3 linked regions of the Styela clava genome follow. The protein of the gene in region 2 binds, or shares a complex with, the protein of the main gene of each other region. Links are inferred from orthologs where the notes say so. Each region holds a gene or a part of one and is shown on either strand. Other genes may lie near its edges. The genes, in order: protein FAM91A1-like, TBC1 domain family member 23-like and syntaxin-16-like.

The links.
Region 1: the proteins of TBC1 domain family member 23-like (region 2) and protein FAM91A1-like are in contact, whole or in part, in a crystal structure (PDB 8JJ9), measured with the Homo sapiens proteins. The link is inferred for Styela clava from reciprocal best matches to the Homo sapiens genes TBC1D23 and FAM91A1. Residues at the interface, in NP_001186127.1 of Homo sapiens: Arg533, His534, Val535, Ser536, Ser537, Asp539, Val541, Gly542, Lys543, Pro544, Tyr545, Arg546, Val548, Pro550, Val551, Phe552; in NP_659400.3 of Homo sapiens: Arg49, Glu60, Arg61, Tyr64, Asp84, Ile85, Lys88, Gly89, Leu90, Arg91, Ile92, Thr93, Phe95, Ser96, Ile159, Pro161, Tyr176, Ile177, Thr178, Glu179, Asp181, Ile182, Lys190, Asp194, Ile197, Asp198, Tyr216, Asn217, Lys218, Gly219.
Region 3: the proteins of TBC1 domain family member 23-like (region 2) and syntaxin-16-like are in contact, whole or in part, in a crystal structure (PDB 8QQF), measured with the Homo sapiens proteins. The link is inferred for Styela clava from reciprocal best matches to the Homo sapiens genes TBC1D23 and STX16. Residues at the interface, in NP_001186127.1 of Homo sapiens: Leu638, Asn639, Ser640, Val641, Val642, Lys643, Ile644, Thr645, Ser646, Lys647, Lys648, Ser661, Ser662, Ala663, Ile666, Thr683, Lys687, Ile690, Met691; in NP_001001433.1 of Homo sapiens: Asp209, Asp210, Asn211, Thr212, Leu213, Tyr214, His215, Arg216, Phe218, Thr219, Glu220.

Annotation. Positions count from the first base shown.
Region 1 is NC_135264.1:10,396,126-10,403,189, forward strand, and holds the start of protein FAM91A1-like, read right to left. Parts: upstream 3,062-7,064; 5' UTR 2,850-3,061; coding exon 2,778-2,849; intron 2,373-2,777; coding exon 2,195-2,372; intron 916-2,194; coding exon 802-915; intron 610-801; coding exon 422-609; intron 7-421; coding exon 1-6. Other genes in the region: large ribosomal subunit protein eL22-like, read left to right, coding at 3,225-3,233, 4,842-4,961, 5,128-5,249, 5,421-5,516, 5,816-5,864. UniProt on the Homo sapiens protein: As component of the WDR11 complex acts together with TBC1D23 to facilitate the golgin-mediated capture of vesicles generated using AP-1.
Region 2 is NC_135252.1:15,043,347-15,050,839, reverse strand, and holds the start of TBC1 domain family member 23-like, read left to right. Parts: upstream 1-4,431; 5' UTR 4,432-4,525; coding exon 4,526-4,633; intron 4,634-5,253; coding exon 5,254-5,378; intron 5,379-6,228; coding exon 6,229-7,110; intron 7,111-7,415; coding exon 7,416-7,493. Other genes in the region: transmembrane protein 245-like, read right to left, coding at 245-337, 967-1,081, 1,738-1,902, 2,674-2,843, 3,520-3,657, 3,969-4,050. UniProt on the Homo sapiens protein: Putative Rab GTPase-activating protein which plays a role in vesicular trafficking. Involved in endosome-to-Golgi trafficking.
Region 3 is NC_135251.1:18,717,737-18,725,145, reverse strand, and holds syntaxin-16-like, read left to right. Parts: upstream 1-4,350; 5' UTR 4,351-4,420; coding exon 4,421-5,356; 3' UTR 5,357-7,359; downstream 7,360-7,409. UniProt on the Homo sapiens protein: SNARE involved in vesicular transport from the late endosomes to the trans-Golgi network.

The sequences.
Region 1 (7,064 bases), on a different chromosome or scaffold from region 2:
ACAAAACTGAAAAGGAGAAGTTTGGTTTAATAAAAAGAAATTTGTTGCATGATTGAAAAAGATTTTGTGAGGTTTTATCTAACATGAAATATTACATATGGCTTGTTGAAAGGGCAGGTTGATCATATTTTGTTAAATAGACAGATTATAGGTATCACATCTTTGTTTACGCCTAGTACTAATACATTTAATATTCTCTAGAAAATATGTTAGGCGTTGTTGTTAGTTATCAACCCACTGCGAAAGCAAGGTCTGTCTGGCGGAAAAAATGGAAAACCCATCCAAAGAAACCTAAGTTGTGTTACTATCAAAAGGAATGCATTTGTAAATCAGGATTCAGGATCATCATAGATAATGGGTTCACACCACTCAAACTAATAATACTAATACACCACATACAAAGCGATTACAAATCAAAAACCTTGATATCGTCTTCAGTGATGAAACCCACATTCACCAACCACCATGGCTCTATGTTAGTCAAGACTGGAGTTTTTGGTAAAAATTCTCGGTATTGCGGCTTCCTTCGAAACGAGAACTTTTTATTCGAACGAGAATTGTTCATAAGGTCAATATATTGGTTTCTACCAATGCCAAGTAGCCGAAGGCCTAAATGAAATATATGAAAAATATAAAAATAAAAAGTTTCTTCAAACAAGGCTATAGGTAAGCAACAAACTAGATATATATAAAAATAGACATGATGTAAAAAACAAAAACCGAATTGATATCCCACGTTAAGAAATTCTCACGAAAAAATTCAATTAAAAAAATAATGGATAATAGTGAAATTGATCTCACAATCTGCAGCTGTAAAATTCGGAAGAGAATCATAACTTCTTTCTTCTTTCATTATTTCTTCCATCATTGATATATAATAGGAAAACGCAGTCATTCGAAGTCCAATCATTCTTTCTGAAAACGGTGATTACACAGCAAATTAATTAAAGTTATTTGGATTTGAAACTTAAAGTACACTATCCAACCGACCAAATATTTACATCTGAAAATTTTAGGAAAAATCATGCATTGTCTATAAACTATGAAAAATGAAGATATTGAAAACAAGGTGGAATGGACCTTTCCCCGAGCATCGACTTCCTTGATTACTTCGTGACATTGGCCAATTCTAAGCAAAGCAAGATGCAAAAAGTGACGTAACAATGCCCCCTTTTCGCATCCGCTCAGACACTTTTCTCACTCAGACAGATTTTCAAGCGTGATTGTAAACATTACCTCGTTTTCACTTTTTGAACTCTATTCGTTAGTTTTTAGTTGTGTTTTGGGAACTTAAATAAAAATCAGATAATTCAATGATCACTTTGTCTTTCTAGGAGTTTTAATTTAATTGCAGTAATAAAAATCAGTGTAGAAATAGCTGTGATAGACTAGCCTGAAATTCTTTACCGGTACTTTTAAAAAACAGATTGTTGTATGCGATGAATCATAATGATGGTTTGAAACACATACCCCATTTTACAGACGCCAACTCGCAAAAGCAGTCTTAAAATAGCCTTGACAATTTTGCAATGGTAAAGTATAGGGAGAATTTTCCGAGGGTCAAAGGTCGGGGAAAGGTCCATAATTGTGATAAAGAAAAGAGATCAACTTAGGAATGATTTTAAATCAAATCACAATAAATATAGACTTGGTCAATAATTTCAGTTCATTAACAGAATAAATTGAAATGTCACCAGCTATGTCAATATACATACTTAAATACAAATTTCATATTTTCTCCGGAAGAGAGGAAACCAGATAAGGTGGCTTGATTACATGACAAACTATGACCTCTTGTCCAACTACTAGAACAAATTGGATATCAGAATAGTTAGCCAATTATTTGTTACACATCCATGGACTTGATGATGAAGGATACTATATCTCAACCTTTTTGCCACAGAACACCTGTACTTTTTATCTCGCCTTGCGAAACACCACGAAATTAGAATGTAAAATTCATGAGTCATTTCGATTCCCGTTCCGTGGAATGCTTTGAAAAAGCTCGCAGAACAGCAGTATTCTGAGGAAATCGCTGCACTAGAACACATTTTTTCCCACATGATTCAAACCAGCGAACCCATGCAGGGTTATCAGAGGTGCAATAGCATGCAATGTCAAACCAAATTATTTCATTTCTCACATGTTAATTCAACAACACATAAATTATAAATCACAAAATAGTAAAAACTACCTTGTAAGTGATAAGGATACAACATTAAATTTTTCTTGCTATAATCGAGAAGTCGTTCATAATAAGCTTTCTCATTTTTAATCACATGACGAACAGTTGAACCACGATATCGAACTTGGTTTCGAATTGCATAATTTAATAACGATCGATTGTATTCTTCTTCTGAATTTCCACATGCCTAAAACAAAATCATGTGGTATGATTGAAGCAACTTTATGGCATAACAATTTCTAAATTATGGTATGAAGTTTGCTAAAATAGGACTGTATTTAGGTATTGCTATGCTTTTATTCACAAATGAGGGTAAATCATTTTTTTAATAATTGTGAATTATAGCTAAGTAGCGAAAAAAGCTGATTTTCTCATTGTGTTTTCTTCAAAAAATTTTGGATTCAATTAGATAATTCAACAATTTTAGACCAAAAAGGTTAACCTAATATTTTCATATTGTTACCTATTGTTTTATGATATTGGTCTTAATGAGTTATACATATCAGCATATCCCAACAAGTTCAATATACTAAAATTAAAAAAGTATAGGTGCATAGAGCAATTCAGCAACTAGACAGCAAAATACACTCACCATTTTAACCCTTTCAGGCAGTTTTGACCAAACATATCCATCCTTAATATGCTTTTCAACATCCTTATTCATTTCGAAACTTCAGTAACATAAACCTTCATTTATAACAAACTTAAAATGTAAACAAAAACTCGGAAGAAACACTAACAAACGTCAGAACGTAGGGTTGCTACGGTTGTGACTTTCCTCAGCATTATCAATAGTATGCAGATAGGTTAGGTATTCACTGCCAATAGAACGTTTTATGTTTAGTAGCTTATGTTAAAACGTTTCATCTCTAATCAGTTAATGTGCAGGCAATTTTATCTTTTATTTTAAACAATCAGAATTTGAGGTAAAGGAGCCATATTTTGCAAATAATAATTCTTCAGCGCCACCTTGTGAATTCCAGAATTGCAACATTGGACATCACGTCACGTGATCTTCCTTTTCGACTAGAAGACCACGATGGCGGCGGTTCGTGTAATTTTTATGTGAATAAAACGAATTTGTAATTCAATGTATTGGATCTTTGAATCAATTTTTACGTGTAAATTTTCAAGTAAAATAGTTATGAATTATCTCTATGCGCAGTTATTTGGCGAGAAGTAGACTAGAAATTCATGATACTGTGATAGGGATGATTTTTAGCTTTGCTGTGTTATTTCACATCTGCGTAGACAAAACTGCCATAATGCAGCAATGGGAGTATTTATCTGATAACTGCCTACTGCAGTCTGATGGTACTTGACTTTAAATTTTATTGCTTAAATCAATAAATACTGAAATAATTGATTTTTCTGAAATTTGTTGACTTGTCATTTCTATGTAATAAAGTCATGGTATCCCACGAATTGAAAGGAAATGTAGCTTTAAGTCGTTGAAGGTGTTTTTTAATGTTAAATTGGGTGTGATTGTTTATGACATATTTCCACTCATTGATGCTTATAAAAATCAACATATGGCTGTATGTAAAGTATGGTGTGGTAAAATACACTCTAGAATTGAATAATTCACTGAATTGAGAAAGTTCTCACATTACAGCATTATTAGTCGGTTCATTATAATTATCACGCTCTGACAACTTAATACAGTAATAAACGAAATCGACATCTTTTGGGTTGAACCAATATAGCCAATCAACTGACTGACTGACAATTAGTTTCAGCCAACAAATCACCATTGCTATGATTCAGCGTAAAAACACATTTAAGTTGCAAATCGGAATTAAAGCACACTTTAACACATGGGTTGTTTCATTTTTTGTACTGTATTTTGTACATTTCAAATCAGCAACCGATTCTCAAACTCCCAATTAGAAACGCTGAAAAAGAGTATTTGAATTTATGTTGTTATATTACTTGATGAAATAATTAGGAAATTGTAGGAATACATGGGTATTTACAGTGTCTCTGGTCAGTGGCGTAGCAAGACTCTCGTGGGCCCCCCCCGCAAAAATATTTCGTGAAAATGACCCTGGAAACTCTCGGACATAAGCTAAAACAACACTTTTTTTTATTTTGCCAAAAAGCGTAACATGTCGCTATAAAAAGACAATGGTAACCTAAAATTTGCCGTTTATTTTGGTTACTTATTTTTTTCATACGTTCCTCTTCTGCCCTTTTTCTGGGTTTCTGTGCGCCACTGAGAGGTTTTGCTTTCGACATTCTGACAGCCTTCGTAATTTTGCCGGTGCGATCAGACGACAAGACGCCGAAAAATTGACGACTTCCTGGCATTGCTACGTAACAAAACGATTTGAGCAGAACTAACATCAATGTTATAAGATGTGCATTACTTGTTTTGCACTGCAGCTTTTGGTTTGCAGCTTAAATTTCTAAATTCTAACAGTTTGGGCCTCTTTGCGCTGTGGGTGCGACCGCGGGGGTGGATGCTACACCACTGTCTCTGGTAATACGGGAGCCTGAGTGACTTTTTTTATGTTTCACTGTTCTGCATCTTTATTGACTTTGTATTTTTTTGACCAAACTTGACTATAAATTTGCTTTTTCTGTGCCTTACATATCTGGCTTGAATTCAATTGAAACCAGCCTACAGAATGACACATTGATTCTTTTCATTCAGGCACAAAAGAGACAAGGTGCAGCTGTTAAAGGCAAGAGCAAGAAAAAGAAGACTCAATTAAAATTCACTCTTGATTGCACGCACCCCGTCGAAGATGGAATCATGGATGTCGGCAACTTTGTAAGTTACTTAATTAATCAAAGTTAATGTAGGCTAAAAACCCAATGCACTGTTTTATGTTTTTCGTATTTTTCCTTAATTAACATCTTAATTAGTTTTGTGTCTGTACTCAACGTAAGGGCTAGGGTCGCCTTCCCTAGACCTTTACTTATGCTTTATGTCACAGGAAAACTTTTTGAAAGAAAGAGTAAAAGTTAACGGCAAAACTAATAATCTTGGAAATCAAGTAGTGATTGAACTTAATAAGACGAAGATCAATATCACGAGCGACATCCCTTTCTCAAAAAGGTATATTTGTATTTGCTATGTTCATTTTTATCACTCAACATATATAGGCCTATATATAGAGGGCCAAAATTGAATATTACTTTTGAATACAGAAATTAAATTTGCACCTTTTTTTGAAATATTTGTACATCCATAAATTAAAACTAGTTATAAAAGTTGAATTTTTTTTAGATATTTGAAGTACCTCACTAAGAAATACTTGAAGAAAAATAACCTTCGTGATTGGTTGAGAGTCATTGCTGCTACGAAAGACTCTTATGAACTGAGGTATGTGTTATTATTATGAAATGTAGAAAACAAAATTGCCGACCTCTTAGTTTGGCAACTTTTTTGAGTTTTAAACTCGGCTTATACGCGAGAATATACGGTACTTCTACGACACATCTGCAGATCTAATCCTGGGTGGAAATATAAGTCCTCCTTTTAAACCCAGATCAGTCATTCTCTTACAAAGAACTGCAGGCTGTTTAGAAAAGGACTCTCATTCCGAGTCCTGTTGTTTTGTAATTGCATCTCCCACTTTACATTTTTTTTTAGTTTTCTTATTGGTGAAATCTTCTTTTCAGATATTTCCAGATCAACCAAGACGAAGAAGAGGAGGAAGAAGAAGATTAAATATTATTTTCTTCTCCAATTTGACTTTATTAATAAAGTCATTTATAGGTCATTGCTTGTTCTTTATGTATTTGTGTTATGGAATGGGGTAGATTTCAAGCAGAAGAGAAGCAAGTTTAGTTTTTTGGTTTCAGATATAGTGCGAAAGTCTTTTGCCACTCTGAAAACTTGTTCTATGCCCACGGTTGCATTATTGAAGGTTACTGGTTAATTTGTTGGGATTGTTTAATGCTATCCTGTATGACTGAGGAGGGTTAAAGCGAGACCTGGGTGGCCACAAACTTCTATATTAAATGGCTGTGGAAATGCCATTGCTGCAGACACCCGTCAGGAATAATATCTGCGTTGTGGGCATGTGAATCGTATCTTAACCTAGAATATTGATTCAAATCAACTCTTCATATGATCCCCAAACTACATTTCATACAACAAGGACTCTTCAGCTATTGGCATTTGATGTGTAATCTGAACTCTAGAATATATCATACTTAAGCTCAGAGGCAGAGCTGATTAAGCATGAGTTCAGGCACCACAGAAACTCTTCGTACCTCAAGAGTTTAATGAACAGAGCCCAGTTGAAATTTTTCCTTGTCATGTAAATCTCTATGAATGTCTGTCGACGTAAGAACTAAAATATCCTGAAAGTTAATCTGATCTGATCGGTAATGAATACTGAAACTTAATTCAATTTCGAATAACATGGAACACACTAGTCTCATTATTATTTTCGGGGCCTCTTGAAGACGTGATCTGGCCCTGATCAGAGGTTCATATATTAGTAACAACCCTGAAGTAACTAATATTACCTTATAATAAGTTTACAAACTTATTCAAATAATTTTGCTTTATTAGAAAAATTATTAAAATTAGCATTTGAAATTTTTATATCCATGCTACCGAAGATAAACACTTGGTAGCACGTTCCTTTAATCATTGAAGCACAAAACTGAAGAATTAATATTATATAACATGGAACAAAAAAAAATCATGCTGTAAAAAAATCAGGAATTTTAAAAGTGAATGAATGGTATTGGTAACAATTGACTCAAGAATATGACAAGGGAAGAACAACTGTGGTCCATCCTTGGCTGAACTTTAAACTGGGTATAAGCACCAGCACTAATTATTATTGTACATTTTCAGTGGATTGAAGACTTCTCTAATAAGCAAGAGTTTTTCAAAGTAAGGAAAATCATTATT
Region 2 (7,493 bases):
CTGTAATATCATAAACTTTAAAGATACCGTTGTCAAATAATTCGTTCCATGCTCAAATATTCAAGCCTTTGTGTATTCAAGCCTTTGTGTTGTGTATTCCAAAATACAATAGCCTATATTTGGATTCTATTTAGTGTTGAGAAATTTCGATTTTTCATTTGCTTAAATGAGTTTCAGAGGAAGTGAGAGTACAGCTGAATATTAATCATTTTAACTTCGATACACAATACTGAACCATTCTCACCTGAGTTTTGTTTACTTGCAGAAATTGCTCCAGTTATCACCAAAACAAGAAGAGCAATTCCTAATGGAACTTGCATTCGTCCAGCTACACTGACTGTAATATGAAGGAAGAAAATATATGAACATTACTGTACTACAATATCAATAATATAATAACCTTATTTCATTTGAGATTACTTAAATGAAGTTATGTCTAACATTACATTATGAGAGTATGTATGCCCATTTCTTATTTACCCATATTAGGATAGGATTTACATATTTATCCCGGGGGAGGGGTAGTCGATAAGACGGCCTGACCATAGGGTGAACCACGGCCTTTCGTCCGGTGACCATTCCATGTTGGGTATGGGATTAGTCGTTGTTTGTTTTCAGAAGCATGGACTTGATGGTGGACCCTACGGCGACGAGGAGCCCCATCGCACATAACCATCCCCGCATGGGGTTCAAACCCACACAGAGTAATCAGATGTGCGGTAGTGAGTGTATTCCTAATGCTTAGCATAATGAGCCACACCAACATTATAAATAAAAGTTTTGCTTTCCACTAGTCTAAAGAACACTTTTGCAATCTCAGCTGTTGTGTGATCTCAGTGATTTTAGTTAAGGATAGGAAATCAATTTTTTGAGAATGTCCTTATGCGATTGGGATCATGTTAAGCGGTAAATGAGATTGTATACGAAAGAGGCACCAACTTTTTAAATCAAATAATATTATCTTACCCAAACAGATCAGAAAAGAGATCCAGGCAGGAACAGCAGCATAGCGAAGCCATCTCACAGATGCTGGATCAAGTGTTAGTGCTGAGACTGTATAACCTCCAACTACAGTTATGAGCTATAATATTAAATTTGTAAATTATTATTATTACCGGTAAGTTTGTAATGAATATATTTGTAATAACATTCACATCTATTCCCAAAAAATATAGATTAGATAAGTAACCTGAATATTTTAATCTGCATTTGATGAGAGATATCAGCTTCCTACATTAATATATCATGACAAATAATTTTATTAAATTTCATATATAACATCAAAGTAAGTTTTGAAATATTATCTACACCAGCTGACTTTGCCATCTTATTAGGCCAAAATTCGAGTCATTTCCAATTCATCAAAATATTGAATTGCTGAAAAAATTCTGAATTATTCCTATATTATCTTATAACCAGGGTCATATCGAATCCAGATTAATTATATTCGATACTTAAAAATTTTAGATTTTGGAAATAGTTAAGATAGATTTATTTGAGGAATCTTCATTCTGAATAATTGAAGCCTTATAGTATAACTGAACCAAATTCAATTTCTATTAATGAACAATGATTTCTGAAATATTCTTGGTTGAACAAAAAGACAATTTTAAATGTTTTGGCAATCTCTGCTTATATCTTATATTCATTTTAATGATGAAAAACATATGAAATGTGTTAATTTAACAACTTATTTTGTTCATACGGACAGACAATGTAAAAATAAGAGTTACTCACAATGAGTCTATACTCAGCAACAAATTCCACAAAATCTGAAGTTGTGTCCCACACAAGTACAATAGCATGCCATATACCAAGTAAGGCAAGTTGAAATATATAAAGCAATTGAATCAAATGAAGAATATATAGAACTGATAAAATTGTTGCAAGGGCCACCAGCATCTGAAAATAAATTGCATAGATGTAAATTATTTCCATTAATCGTAATCAATTTTACAATGTGAATATATCATTAGAATGGGATGAGGCCAGTCATTCTTGAAGTAAATGTTTATTTGACCATCAAGTATGGCATAATATTAAAATCCCAACATAATATATAAGTACATATTTGAAATTTATGTTCGGCAATTAGGAAATTGTGTTTAATAAACAAATCTATTAATAGATTGCACGCTGCCCGCATGACTTAAATCATGGATTGGCTACAAGTCGAGCATAAGGTTCAATTTCATTAAAATGGGTTGATCTCATTTACTTGTTCAAATTGCACAATGATATGCTAAAAGGCTTGAAATTGAGTTAATTAAAACTCACGCAAGTCAAGGAAATATGACTAGACTTGCCATGGACTTCATAAACTCAAGTCGGTTATAACTAAATAGCGCTTAATTTCGGCATGGCATGACTCAAGATAAGCTTTGAATCCATCTTTGTCACTATTATTAAGCTCTGCTTTTATTTGATTTTTGATTGAACTGTTTGTTTAATTTGTATTGTAGTAAAAACTTTTGGCAAATTGGCAAATTTTGTAGTGAAAACTTTTGGCAAATTTGGCAAATTTTGATTTTTGATATGATAAAACCATTTGAAACATTCTAGATAAAAATAGAGAACTTCTGTATTATCACATTAATCAGAAATAAACGAGCATGACTAGCAAAATATTGATAATCTTTTTCAAACTATTGAGAGATTTATAATTAAAGGTACCTTCCATCGATTGACAATAAATTTTCCCAGATTCTCTGCAAAATTATCAAATATACTGATGGGAATGAGAAGAGCTCCTATGAGTAATGGTCTTCCACTTTCCTCGTGAGCTTTCAACCAAGACTCCAATGCAGAATTCAACGAGTATTTGAATGGGAATAAGAAGAAACCTGAAATAATGGAAAGATAGTTTTTCATTGCGTATACTACACTTGTATATTTTTGATGTGCTGGAAAAACTGGAAATATATTACAATATATTAATAATGGATAGGCAATAATGGATAGGATTTATATAATTCCGGGGGAAAAGGAGAGCTAATAAGACGGCTTAACAATATGGCAAACAATGGCCTCTCGTCCGGTTACCAGTCCATGTCAGGTATGAGATTAGTCCCAGATACGTGGACGATGGACTTGATGGGGAAAGCCACACTTCAGCTCAAAAGCTTATGTTACAAAACCATCCATCAGCTGATGCACTATTTTCAATATAAAATTTTACCGAAAGTTGATTAGGTACAAACTTAAGCTGAATTAATATCATTGAAATTGAAATAAACATTCAGAAGTGGGTTGATTTCATTCTATACATCTAAGACTAACATATCTAAGCAAGAAGCACTTTTCCAATCATAAAGAAAATGTGGCCGTTTTAGTAAAAGCAACTTCTTTATGGTATGTCGCATCTGTTTCAATGCTCCAGGCAAGAGGGATACAAGCTTAATATGCGCATTGCCATGTATGAATGACCAAACCTTTGTTATGAAGAGGAATTGGGAACATTTTTTAATACATGTATATAAAATTTTATGTGTTAAAAAATTGCCACCTACATGAACTTACCACATAGTACAGCCCATATCAATGGCGTGATAAAAATTTCAAGGACAAAATAAACATAAACTGCAGCAGCACAACCGGCAACTGTAAACAATATGGCAGCTGCCGTGTAAAAAGCTTGTCGGAGTGGCTTTTCATGCCCTGAAAACAACATACAGATATTAAATTGGCAAGACAAGAAATTAATAGGAAAAATCAGAACAACAATTGTCTCTGAACAAATTCTTTGAAATACAATGTTTCCTGAAAAATTCAATATCTACTTATTCAATTTATTATTTCATTAGGCACACACTTCGAGGCTTCAGTACTTTACACAATAAGAGTATTACAAAATGTGACTAAAATTTAACAGGCATAGAAAATTTAAACTAGCATTTTTATGTTTTTGTCCACTTCCAGCAAATCTTATCTATGATTCACTCACATCATATCATTTCAAAAAAATATACCTGGAGGTACTAGTTGGGTCATGCTGTCAAACAGGACAGATCCTTGTCGTTGTAATCTCCTTGACGAACCTAACGACGCCATTCATGCAACAAAAACAATGCGACACATCATCGAGTTTCAACACTTGTCTACAAACGCAGCGAACCCCAGGAAATCCCCTGAGTGAGCTTTTGGGCAACCCACAATTATTTCAACTCTGAATGAATCTTGATCCCAAGTAATACGGTATAGGTTTCCTAATGTACAAGGACTTTAAACATGCACATGAACAGATATTTTGTTTACAAACACTGGAAGTTTATGATAATATGCAATACCACACCCGAACGTAAACTGGGACTTCCCCGTCAATTGCTAACAGCTGTTCTGTAAATAAATTTGAAAAATATTTTGTGGCTCAATGTCACCATCTCGCGGATATGAAAAACTTGATCATTCTTTGAGTGACGCGGCAGGATACCGATTACGGAATATCGAACCATTTGCTGTCTGCTCACCTTTAGAACTGCGGGCGAAATTTTGGGTTACGGAATTTTCTTTGTGATGATGCTTCGATATGGCTGATGACTTGGACGATATTGATGCGATTTTATCTGACGAAAATTTTGATTTTGTAGGACAAAGTTCACAAGAGAACATTGTATCTGATAGTGCATGTAGTGAGGTAACAATTTTATTAATATATATATAACTTCTGAACGTAGTAATACTGTACTAATATGACTTTTGAATCTCTAAACGGTCCTCTGTCTGACTGTTGAAATTTGCTTTGTGGATATTAGTAGTTTGGTCAGAGTTTTGAGTCCAGGTATAGCGGTTCAATGTGGCATGGCATGCACATGCAGACATGTGTGCGTGTTCTGGTGTTGAAGGACATGGAAATCAAACTGCACAAACATGTGATTAAATAGTGAAATCTAAAATTATAAAAAAGCGTCCCTACAAAGAAACTATGACATAGAATTCTGAGATTGGATTTTAGAAATTGTTTTTCTTTCTGGTCATGTTGCCGTGAATGCTTTACTATTCTGTATAATTATTATTCTATTGAATAAACATATCATCATATTTAGCGACATCAAATAAGAATGCAATATCGTTTTTTATGGATGTATGGTACAAATTCATTCCTTTTTAATCAAAAACATTTTTTGTGCTTCACATAAACACAAGACTAGATTAGACAACCTTGTTATGCTGAAGAAATTTAAATGTTTGTTTATTTGTGATCAAATTGTAAAATATCCATTTTCAAATAATTTTTATTGTTATGTTCCATTTCAGGACTTTGTTGATGATTTTGATGATGCGTGGCATGCCGAACTTGAAGATGCTTTATTAGAGGGATTCGTTGATCATACCATAATACGAAATATATGCAAGTGCAGAATTTTGCCACCAATTCATAGGTAGTTTTTTTGTTCTTTTATCCTTTTTTTTCAGATTTATTGCAATGTTCTGTTTTGAGAAAGTGGACATTGAGTAGATTATTTTTCAAATAAGACATGAATGTGTTAGTTGCTGGGAGGTTGCGTACTTGATTATTAATTGAAGCTATTTTGATATACTACAGATTTCAAATCTGTGCTTATAAATAGTTTAAAATGTCTGACAATTTTTTTTGTTATTTTCGTATCAGTTCTTCCTTTATAGTCATAATATCCTTGATTTTCAGCTTAATCTGAATCAGATGTTTCTTAAACGTTAGTAACAAAGCTTTGCTTATTTGAAAACTAATAATTCTTATATCAAACATTAACATGAGTAATTTTTAGTAAATTTATGATACTAATTATGGTTAGGAAAAGTTTTTTGCCCTATGTAGTATGTTTTATCACCAACTTTTTAAATAATTTAGTTACAAAACCTATTCATTTTTTTGAAATAAAGTTTTTAAGTTTAAGTAAGTAAGTTTTTAGGCATTATATATCATATAGACCAGTGGTCCTCAAACTCTCATGATCCATGTCTCACATCCAAAAAGTTTCAACGATCCATCAGTTCTTCGATGAAAACCCCAGTTCCGTTTTCAATGAGACACCATCAGTTACTTTATTTTTTATGTTTAAAAATAAAAAGTCAACAGAGGAAAGTTAAATAATAAATGCTTTATGGTCAAAGATTTAAATAAATCATTAAATTTTTTTGCACTTAAAATGAATATAGACATCGCACATGGTACCATGGCCCAGTTGGAGAAATCCTGACATAGAAAATGAGTAAGTTGTACTCCAATTTAAAATGTATATTACTTTATAGGGCGGAGGTATGGAAAATCTGTCTCAACATTGCAAGTCGTGGCAATGCGTTGAATTGCTGGGATGGGAAGCTTGATCTAACGGAACAAAATCAGATACATGAAGCATGCGAAAAAATTGTTGATCAATCGAAAACGGAGGATACCGAACAAGCACTTGCAAATTTAGAATTGATAATCACATTTTACTGCAAAAGTCGTGCCATTAAATACGACACTGAATATGCATGGACCTTTTTGTTACAACCAATGTTGGAATTACCGGAATTGGATCGTGCTGACTTGTACAACTGCTTTTATGCAATGCTAGCCCGTTACATACCCCGTGAATCACTTCCTGATGCCCCATATAATCTGTTTCGACTTATTCTTCTTTATCATGATCCGGAGCTCTGTTCGTTCCTCGATTCTCGCAAATTAACAATGCAGATGTTTATGAAACCCTGGCTTCGAACTCTATTCGCGAGCCATTGTAAACGTCCTGTCACTCTCGCCTTATGGGATATTTATCTTCAAAGAGCAGATCCATTCTTCATGTTTTTTCTGGCACTTGTCATTTTAGTGAATGCCAAAGAACAAGTAATGAACACTATGTTGGATAAGCAGAAGAATGAAATTGCCGACGCACTGACAGAGTTTCCTGTTGCTCTTGAAACTGTGGATGTGGAAGACTTCTGTCAGTTAGCTATGTATTTTAGTGACAAAACTCCACAATCTGTGCGCAAGGGTTATCAAGATGCTTTGTTCAGTGGACCCATGTCTTTGTCAGGATCGAAAGAAAGTACAAGAGTGGAAAGAGAATTAGCACAGTCATTGTGTATTCAAGTTGCAGTACCAGATATTTTATTATCTGCACAGCCTGACTTTTCAAGCGACGAACGGAGGTTTGTATTTTAATTTTAAAGTATTACCATTTTTATTTGATCACAGATGTATAAACAATATAGTGCAAAAATTTGGAGCCTTGGAAATATTTTTTCCATATATAGAAATTTGGAATCCCTGTACTCATTTGTCATAAGTTTGCCAAAAATTTGCACATTAAATTTAATGGAGTAGGGTATTGAACAATTCTCAGACTACAATTCAGAAGTTCAAAAATCTCAATGTGCTTTTATGACTATATCCATCCAATACAAGTTATCGAACAATTAATCATTATTGCATAATGTGAAATTTAACTTTACAGTGAGTCAAATCAAGTCAGATTTTTTCTTGTTGATTGTCGATCTCCTGATCTTTACAATGCTGGTCATCTCAGTACAGC
Region 3 (7,409 bases), on a different chromosome or scaffold from region 2:
AGATAAAGCAATAAAACTAAACAAAACGTTTTTCAAGTGAGGTCGTACAAAGCTCTCAAAGTGCTCCGTACGAAGCCCCAGGGCTCCGTGAGAGAAACCTAATGCTCCGCGGGCTACTGTCCAAAGACGCAATAACGGCATTAATAAAATGTGACAACAGTAGCGTCGAAATATCGCAAAGCGGTAATTCAAATATGACATTATCTACAAGCAGGAGCGAGCCAGGATTTTAAAAGAGAGGTGGTGGGTGTTCAAAATTGGAATCGGAAATTCTCGCGCAACATTCTTCGCGATTAGGCCACTCGTTAAAAAAGACTTTTTCAGCAGATAACGAGTTTTCTGTTGCGTAAAATATTCAATCTATAGCCGACGCGAGCACGATAATTTAATTGTGTTCATCGCTACTCGTTTTTACGTCTATATTACGATTACTAATAAAATGAAAGATTACTATTCTAAAATAACATAAAAAACGTTCTCAACTGCCAAGTACCAATTATAAATAGATGGAAATCGTATTTTTACGATCTTGGGATTCGTCAAATTGGATTTGATCTTTCAGCACTGAAGATTATTTTTAAGCAAGATAAAATCTCAAGGTCGGCGTTAAAACCTCCATGAGTACAACTCACAATTGCGCAATCCCTGACCGATGGGGGCATGTTTAAAATGCCGTGTTTTTTGGCTTAATTGTGTTCAATGTAACCTGCGATTGCGTCGACTTACGACAACATAAAATCATCACTGCTCAGAATCACCGCGGCATCCGCGGACATGGAATGAGAATCAAAGTTGCCGCATAACCTGGATGACGCTGTTGTCGTAAGATATTAGAAGTAATGTAAAGCATAATCATGACTGATTGTATGGCAGATTACAGCAATTTAGCGAACTCGACAAATTTGAGTCGTTCCTATAACGCTGACTCCCTATCGCATGTCTGTCACTCAGATTCTTTCAAAGATATATATCACCGTTTGAAAAATCACAAAATACGGATGATTAAAATTTATTTTATTGCAATAAAAAATTGATTGAAATACTTTACATTAATTATCTTATATATCGTCACATATCGAGAAAAAGTCGCATGCGGCTAAGTCGGTGCCCAATTAACTATGTTTCGATTTCTGTTAATACCGTATAATTTCCAAAGAAAACCTAAAATAACACCAAATTTTGTTATTAACATTGTCTTAAAAAGCTTTTTCAATAGACCTTTCCCCGAGCATCGACTTCCTTGTTTACTTCGTGACATTGGCCAATCTGGAAGATGCAAAAAGTGACGTAACAATGCTCCCTTTTCGCATCCGCTCAGACACATTTCTCACTCTGACAGATTTTCAAGCGTGGTCGTAAACATTACCTCGTTTTCGCGTTCTTGAACTCTATTCGTTAGTTTTCAGTTGTGTTTCGGAAGCTCAAATATAAATCAGGTAATTCAATCTGTCTTCTTAGGGGTTTTACTTTAATTGCAGTAATAAAAAATTAGGGTTCCATTACATTTGAACCCACGTACATTTGAACCCATGACAATTGCACCTGTATGCTATTGCACCAATGAAATTTTTTTTGTTTCACGAATAGTTAAACCCATACTACCCTAACCCATGGGTTTTAGCACCGGCATATAGGTTGAACCCGTGGATATACGCATGGGTTCAAATGTACGTGGGTTCAAATGTACGGTCACCAAAAATTAGTGTAGAAATGGTTCCATTGCATTTGAACCCACGTACATTTGAACCCATGACAATTGCACCTGTATGCTATTGCACCTATGAAATTTTTTTTGTTTTTCGGATAGTTGAACCCATACTAACCCTAACCCATGGGTTTTAGCACCCACATATAGATTAAACCCGTGGATATACACATGGGTTCAAATGTACGTGGGTTCAAATGTATGGTCGGTCACCTGTAGAAATAGCTATGATAGACTAGGCTAAAAAAATTTACCGGTACTTTTAAAAAAACAGATTGTTGTATGCGATGAATCATAATGATAATTTGAAACACATACCTCATTTTACAGTCGCCAACTCGCAAAAGCACTCTTAAGTTAGCCCCGAAAATTCTGCAATGGTAAAGTATAGGAAGAATTTTTCCGGTGTCAAAGGTCGGAAAAATGTCCATTTGTCACGAGTCCGCTAAAACAAAACTTATGGTGTTATCTGTTTTAAGTTTTAGTTTTAATATTTTATAATGCCGCTTTTCATTCAAGAAATTTGGGTTGCGTATACACCCCTTTATTAATTATTCTTAGCATATCGTCGCCGATGATATATAATATACTAACTTGTTTTTCACACTGAACCAACGACTAGATACCGCACTGAACTCATAATTCCACACCAGAACAAAAAGCAATTATCGTCTTCCTCGTGGAACAATTTATGCATATGCCGATGAAAATTTGTGATTGAAGGAGAATAAACACCGACGTGCAAATGTTTACGGACTAAAAAACATATCAAACCGACGAAAATAATCGGCGATTTTATCAAGATGCAATCGCGCACGTTATTAGCGATTTTTCAGTCTTCAAAAATATCAGAAGGGAGGTTCGACCCCGAATTTATTAATATGTTTGTTCAGTGTCAAATTTACAGCCTTAATATATATAATTTATCTGTGAAATTTAGATTTATTCATGGCTGGTATTAACCCTATTAAAAGGTTAGTCATTGAAATTGAGTAAAATAATTTTAACCAACTAAGGAATATTAATTGCCTAATTGGTAAGTAACAATTTTAAAATTTATTGTGGGGCTCCGTGAATAATAGTCATCCTCTTCAGGGGCTCCGTAACACCAAAAGTTTGAGAACCCCTGGTCTAACAATGTATGTAATATGAAAAATCACGCGGCATGCAACTACAGAGAGCTTTTGCTCATTAAACGATCCACTTTGCATAAAATGAGTCCGCGCATTTGTAAACAACTGGTCAACGTTGACTGGTAACCGGGCGAGAGACCGTGGTACGCCTTATGATTAAGCCAGAGCCATTACATAATGTCCCTGATTAAGCCGTCTCGCGGGATATCCTTCTCCGCCAGGATAAAATAATGATCCCTATTCAAAAGATAAACACTAAACACACTAAAATTTAGCTGGTGGGTGAGTGGGCGTGTGTCGCTCCTAAACTTAACACTGTAATAACCTATTTTGTATATAAATTACTCGGTATGTTAGTCGTTGATATTACTATAACATTATGTGCTCTGTATATGGACGTTTTGCTCGCTCACCCAAACTAGCCAATTTCTATGTGTGCCTATTCATTGCGCGATGTGGGAGATGTAGCTGCTTTCAGACTCCTGCCACTGCCTGGGTAATCGTCGCCGTTCATCTACGCTTGTGACCTGTTAAGTGCAAGCAGCTGACTTGACGATATTTTCTATTTGACTTGTGAAGGTATTTCGGAATTTGTTTTATTATGATTTTTAAGTTAGGTTGTTGTGGTACCGGTATTGGTAACAAGAGTATGCAGTACGGTTGTACGACAGGCCAGAAGCAGTCTGATGGGGACGATTTTAAGTTGGCTTTTAATAAATGATTTCTGTTGTTTATTTTCAATGCTGAGTATTTTTATTTACACAACGTAAAATGTTCATATGCTTATTTCAATTTCTCGACACTAAATACAGAAGTATGAATGTTAATATCAATCAATCTTATTTTGGTCACTCTGAAAGAAACAAAACTACAACAAACGGACAAACAAAATGCAGAGGACCTGGAGGACGGGTATAACTTAATAAAAAAGTTAAAAGCGTACAAGTAGTCTACGTGCCCGTCCACCAAAAACAGTCAAAAGAACACAATAAAATAAAGACACATGCAAAATCGGGCAATACGGTACCTTTTGAATCAATTTTAAAATGTGAGACACTGATCAAAAGAAGATCATGGAAACACTTTATACAAACTAGAATTAAAAAATTAACAAAAAAAATTGTGGCTGCGGTTCTTATGTGGTGATTACAGAAGATATTGATTGTTCAGTGAAATTTTATCACATAACAAATGTAAATCACGAGAAAATGAACTATGTACAGATGTATGTGAGAAAGTGGCATGCATAGACTTGAGGGCTTGCTGATTGCATTCTTGTATGGCTGTTTTTGATGAAAATGATATATGAAATGATAACCTCCAGTCAAACGCTATGCTGTAAAGTGTAACTAAATAAAATACGATTAAAAGGACGTTTCTAGAATTGATAGGATGGAATGCATGACTGTGGTATGTGTATCATAACAGTGCTTTTCTTACAAAAATATGAAATAAAAAACACCATCAGCTAACTTAAGAGCGAATAGGTGAAAGCATCAAACAGTCTGAACGATTTTTACTCTTAATTTATCATATTTTTATATTAATTACCGTAATATAGCCTAGTAGTCTACATATCATAATGTTGACGAGATCTCTCACTGACGCATTTATACTCATGCGCAATAATGCGCTACAAAATCGTCATATGTTTTGGCAACGACAAGATGTTGAGTACGATGCAGATGAAAATGACGAAGTCTCTTTGATATCTAATCGAAAAGGACAAAATTCAATGCAGTTGAAAAGTCTTCCACCAAGATGGTTATCGACAGTCGAAGAAATCAAAGAAGGAATCAGCCAAATCAAATTAAAAATGGAAGAATTATCAGCTCACCATCACAAACATCTTAATCGTCCAACGTTAGATGATGATGTTGAAGAAGAACAAACTATTGAAATCTTGACTCAAGAAATAACACATTTATTTTACAGCTGCAATCAGAGCGTTAAAATTCTGTCTAACCTTTCAAAAAAAGCTTCCAAGCATGAGAAATTGATGTCAAAAAATGTTGTTTCGGCTATGGCTTCTTCATTACAAAATGTATCAAATGATTTTCGACACAGTCAATCTTCTTATTTGAAAAAGTTGAAAGCAAGAGAAGATAGGTCGAGACATTTTTTTGACTCTGATAATGCGATTATGGTCGAACACAGTGAAATGGATATCGATGATGAAACATTTGAACGAGGGTTTTCTACAACGCAATCTGCTCTTGTTGAAACGAATAGTCGTATCATTGAAGAACGTGAAGAAGAAATTCAAAAGGTCGTTCAAAGTATCTCAGATTTGGCGGAAATATTTAGAGATTTGAGTAACATTGTAGTGGAGCAAGGAACTGTTCTTGACAGAATTGATTATAATGTTGAAAACTCTGTTATGAAAACGGACGAAGGAGTAAAACAATTACAAAAAGCGGAGAAATACCAAAAGAAAAACAAAAAACTTTATGTTATCTTTGTACTATCAATTATAACGGCAATAATGCTAATTATCTTAATTATAAAAAAGGGTTGATTTTTTATTCATATCTATTTTAAATATGTGATGTATTCTACTATTTAGTTAACTAGTTGTGTGATGTAAGCAAATGTGCAATGACTTTGATAGATGTGTGTGTGTGTGAGTTATTCTAACTCTGCACTTGATGTATCATAAGGTAGTACTTATCATACCATATTAAATGCTGGTATTATTCATCCATGGTGTTGGTCTTTTATCACTCATTTTCATCAAATTTCATTTGCCCACTGATCCTAAAATCTGAATACTATTTTGTAATTATAAAATGATTTAACTCGGCTTCACTTCACCCTGGTTGAAATAAATCGGGTAAGCATTACTGAAGTGTAAATCAGCCTCTGCTTATGTGGAGCCTTGTTTGGAGCGGAATTCTTAAAAATCACATAAAAATGTGATGTCCTTTTCATTTTTTCAAATGACTCTACAGATTCAGATTGTAGCGTGTCTCCCATATTGTTTGTATTTGCACATGCTTATTTGGTCTGTATCACTACTGGCTGATAGCATGTCAGCTGCTGTGCTTTTAAAACATAGTAAAAAGTGAATTTCAGGGCCAGGAAATTCTTCAAATCGTGCATTGCTCTGAACCTAAATAATCATGAACAAGTGGTAACATAATATCAAGAATAAACATGAAACTGCCACCATGGGTTATGTACTGATGTTATGATTTTCTGTACGGAAATAGAGCTGTTTATAATGATTATACAGACTTTCTATGGTTTTATATTCACTTATGCAGATCCACCTAGAGACAAGGGTCTATCGCGTTTGTATGTACTAAAATCATTCCAGTTTGGCATATTCTATACATTTTATTCGGTGGATATGGATCATTGGATCAGAAAGCAGAAACCTAAAATGGCAAGAAATCTTATTTACCATGATAATACGCGGAATTTCATCAACCGATCAAACGTCTGGCTAAATAACACTGTATGACCTGACTATAGTTTTTTGTTTTATATTAACATTGTTAATGCACTGCTAGTTTTTTTTATGTGCCAGGAATTCCAGTAAAATTTACAACTTAGTTCTAAATATTATTGTACATTTATTTTTTAAATAACTATATTTCTTGCTAATTTTACCCACTTTATCAGTTGTGTTATATTAATTTAAAGTTGTAGAGCCGTGATGTCTTGAGGAGGTCTATTTAACTTCATTATGACTTCACCTCAACCTAACCCTAGAATAGAAAATTTGAAAACAGCAGAATTTGTACTTTTACTTCAGGTTGAGAAAATTCTGGTCAGTCCTGCTTCAATGATTCCCACTGGGAACAGAGTCAGAATTGCACTGAAGTTTTGATTTATTTGTGTCATTAGTATAATGCTTATTAGTTCACTCATCTTTGGTGGGCAAAATGGGCTTTAGTTTAAAATTATTTTTGCTTCAAGGTTACTAATTTATTGTTTAACTCTGACCTGCTAGTCAATAGGTATAATTTACATTGCTTTAGTTCTACTTCATGTTTGTGTCGTGTCTTATTTTTATACTTGAAAAATTAAATTTTTAATGGTTCCTAAGTAATTCAAGAGCTTTGCTGGTCGCTGCACACTAACATACAGTAAATATATTTTTTGTAACGTTTTGTCGGACCAAGGTCAGACATAATTCAACTACAACAAAATGAGAAATTGCATACTCGTCCAAACAATGAGTGTTATGCCATGTGTTATATATTTGAAGCCATTGAATATGGGTATTGGTAAATACCAAAAGAGATGAATAGAACATGAAAATTACAAGGTGGAATAGTACTATAGTAGCTTGGATTCTGAAAACTGACTGAAGTCCCAAGTCCCATTTGTATGCATAGAAAATGTATAAGATCTGTCGAAAAATGAGTCTTGATATTTGTCTTTTTTTCTTTTTGCCAACTTGAAAAATTGGGTATGAGGATATTTTCCATCGTGTAATTCTTATTTTCTGTCCTTCGTTTTCCCATATTTTGGGCACAAAGTTATTTTATATGTGTATTTTCATCATTTAGACTCATTGTCAGTGGTTTTAGTAAATATAATGACATGAATCTGTAGGATTG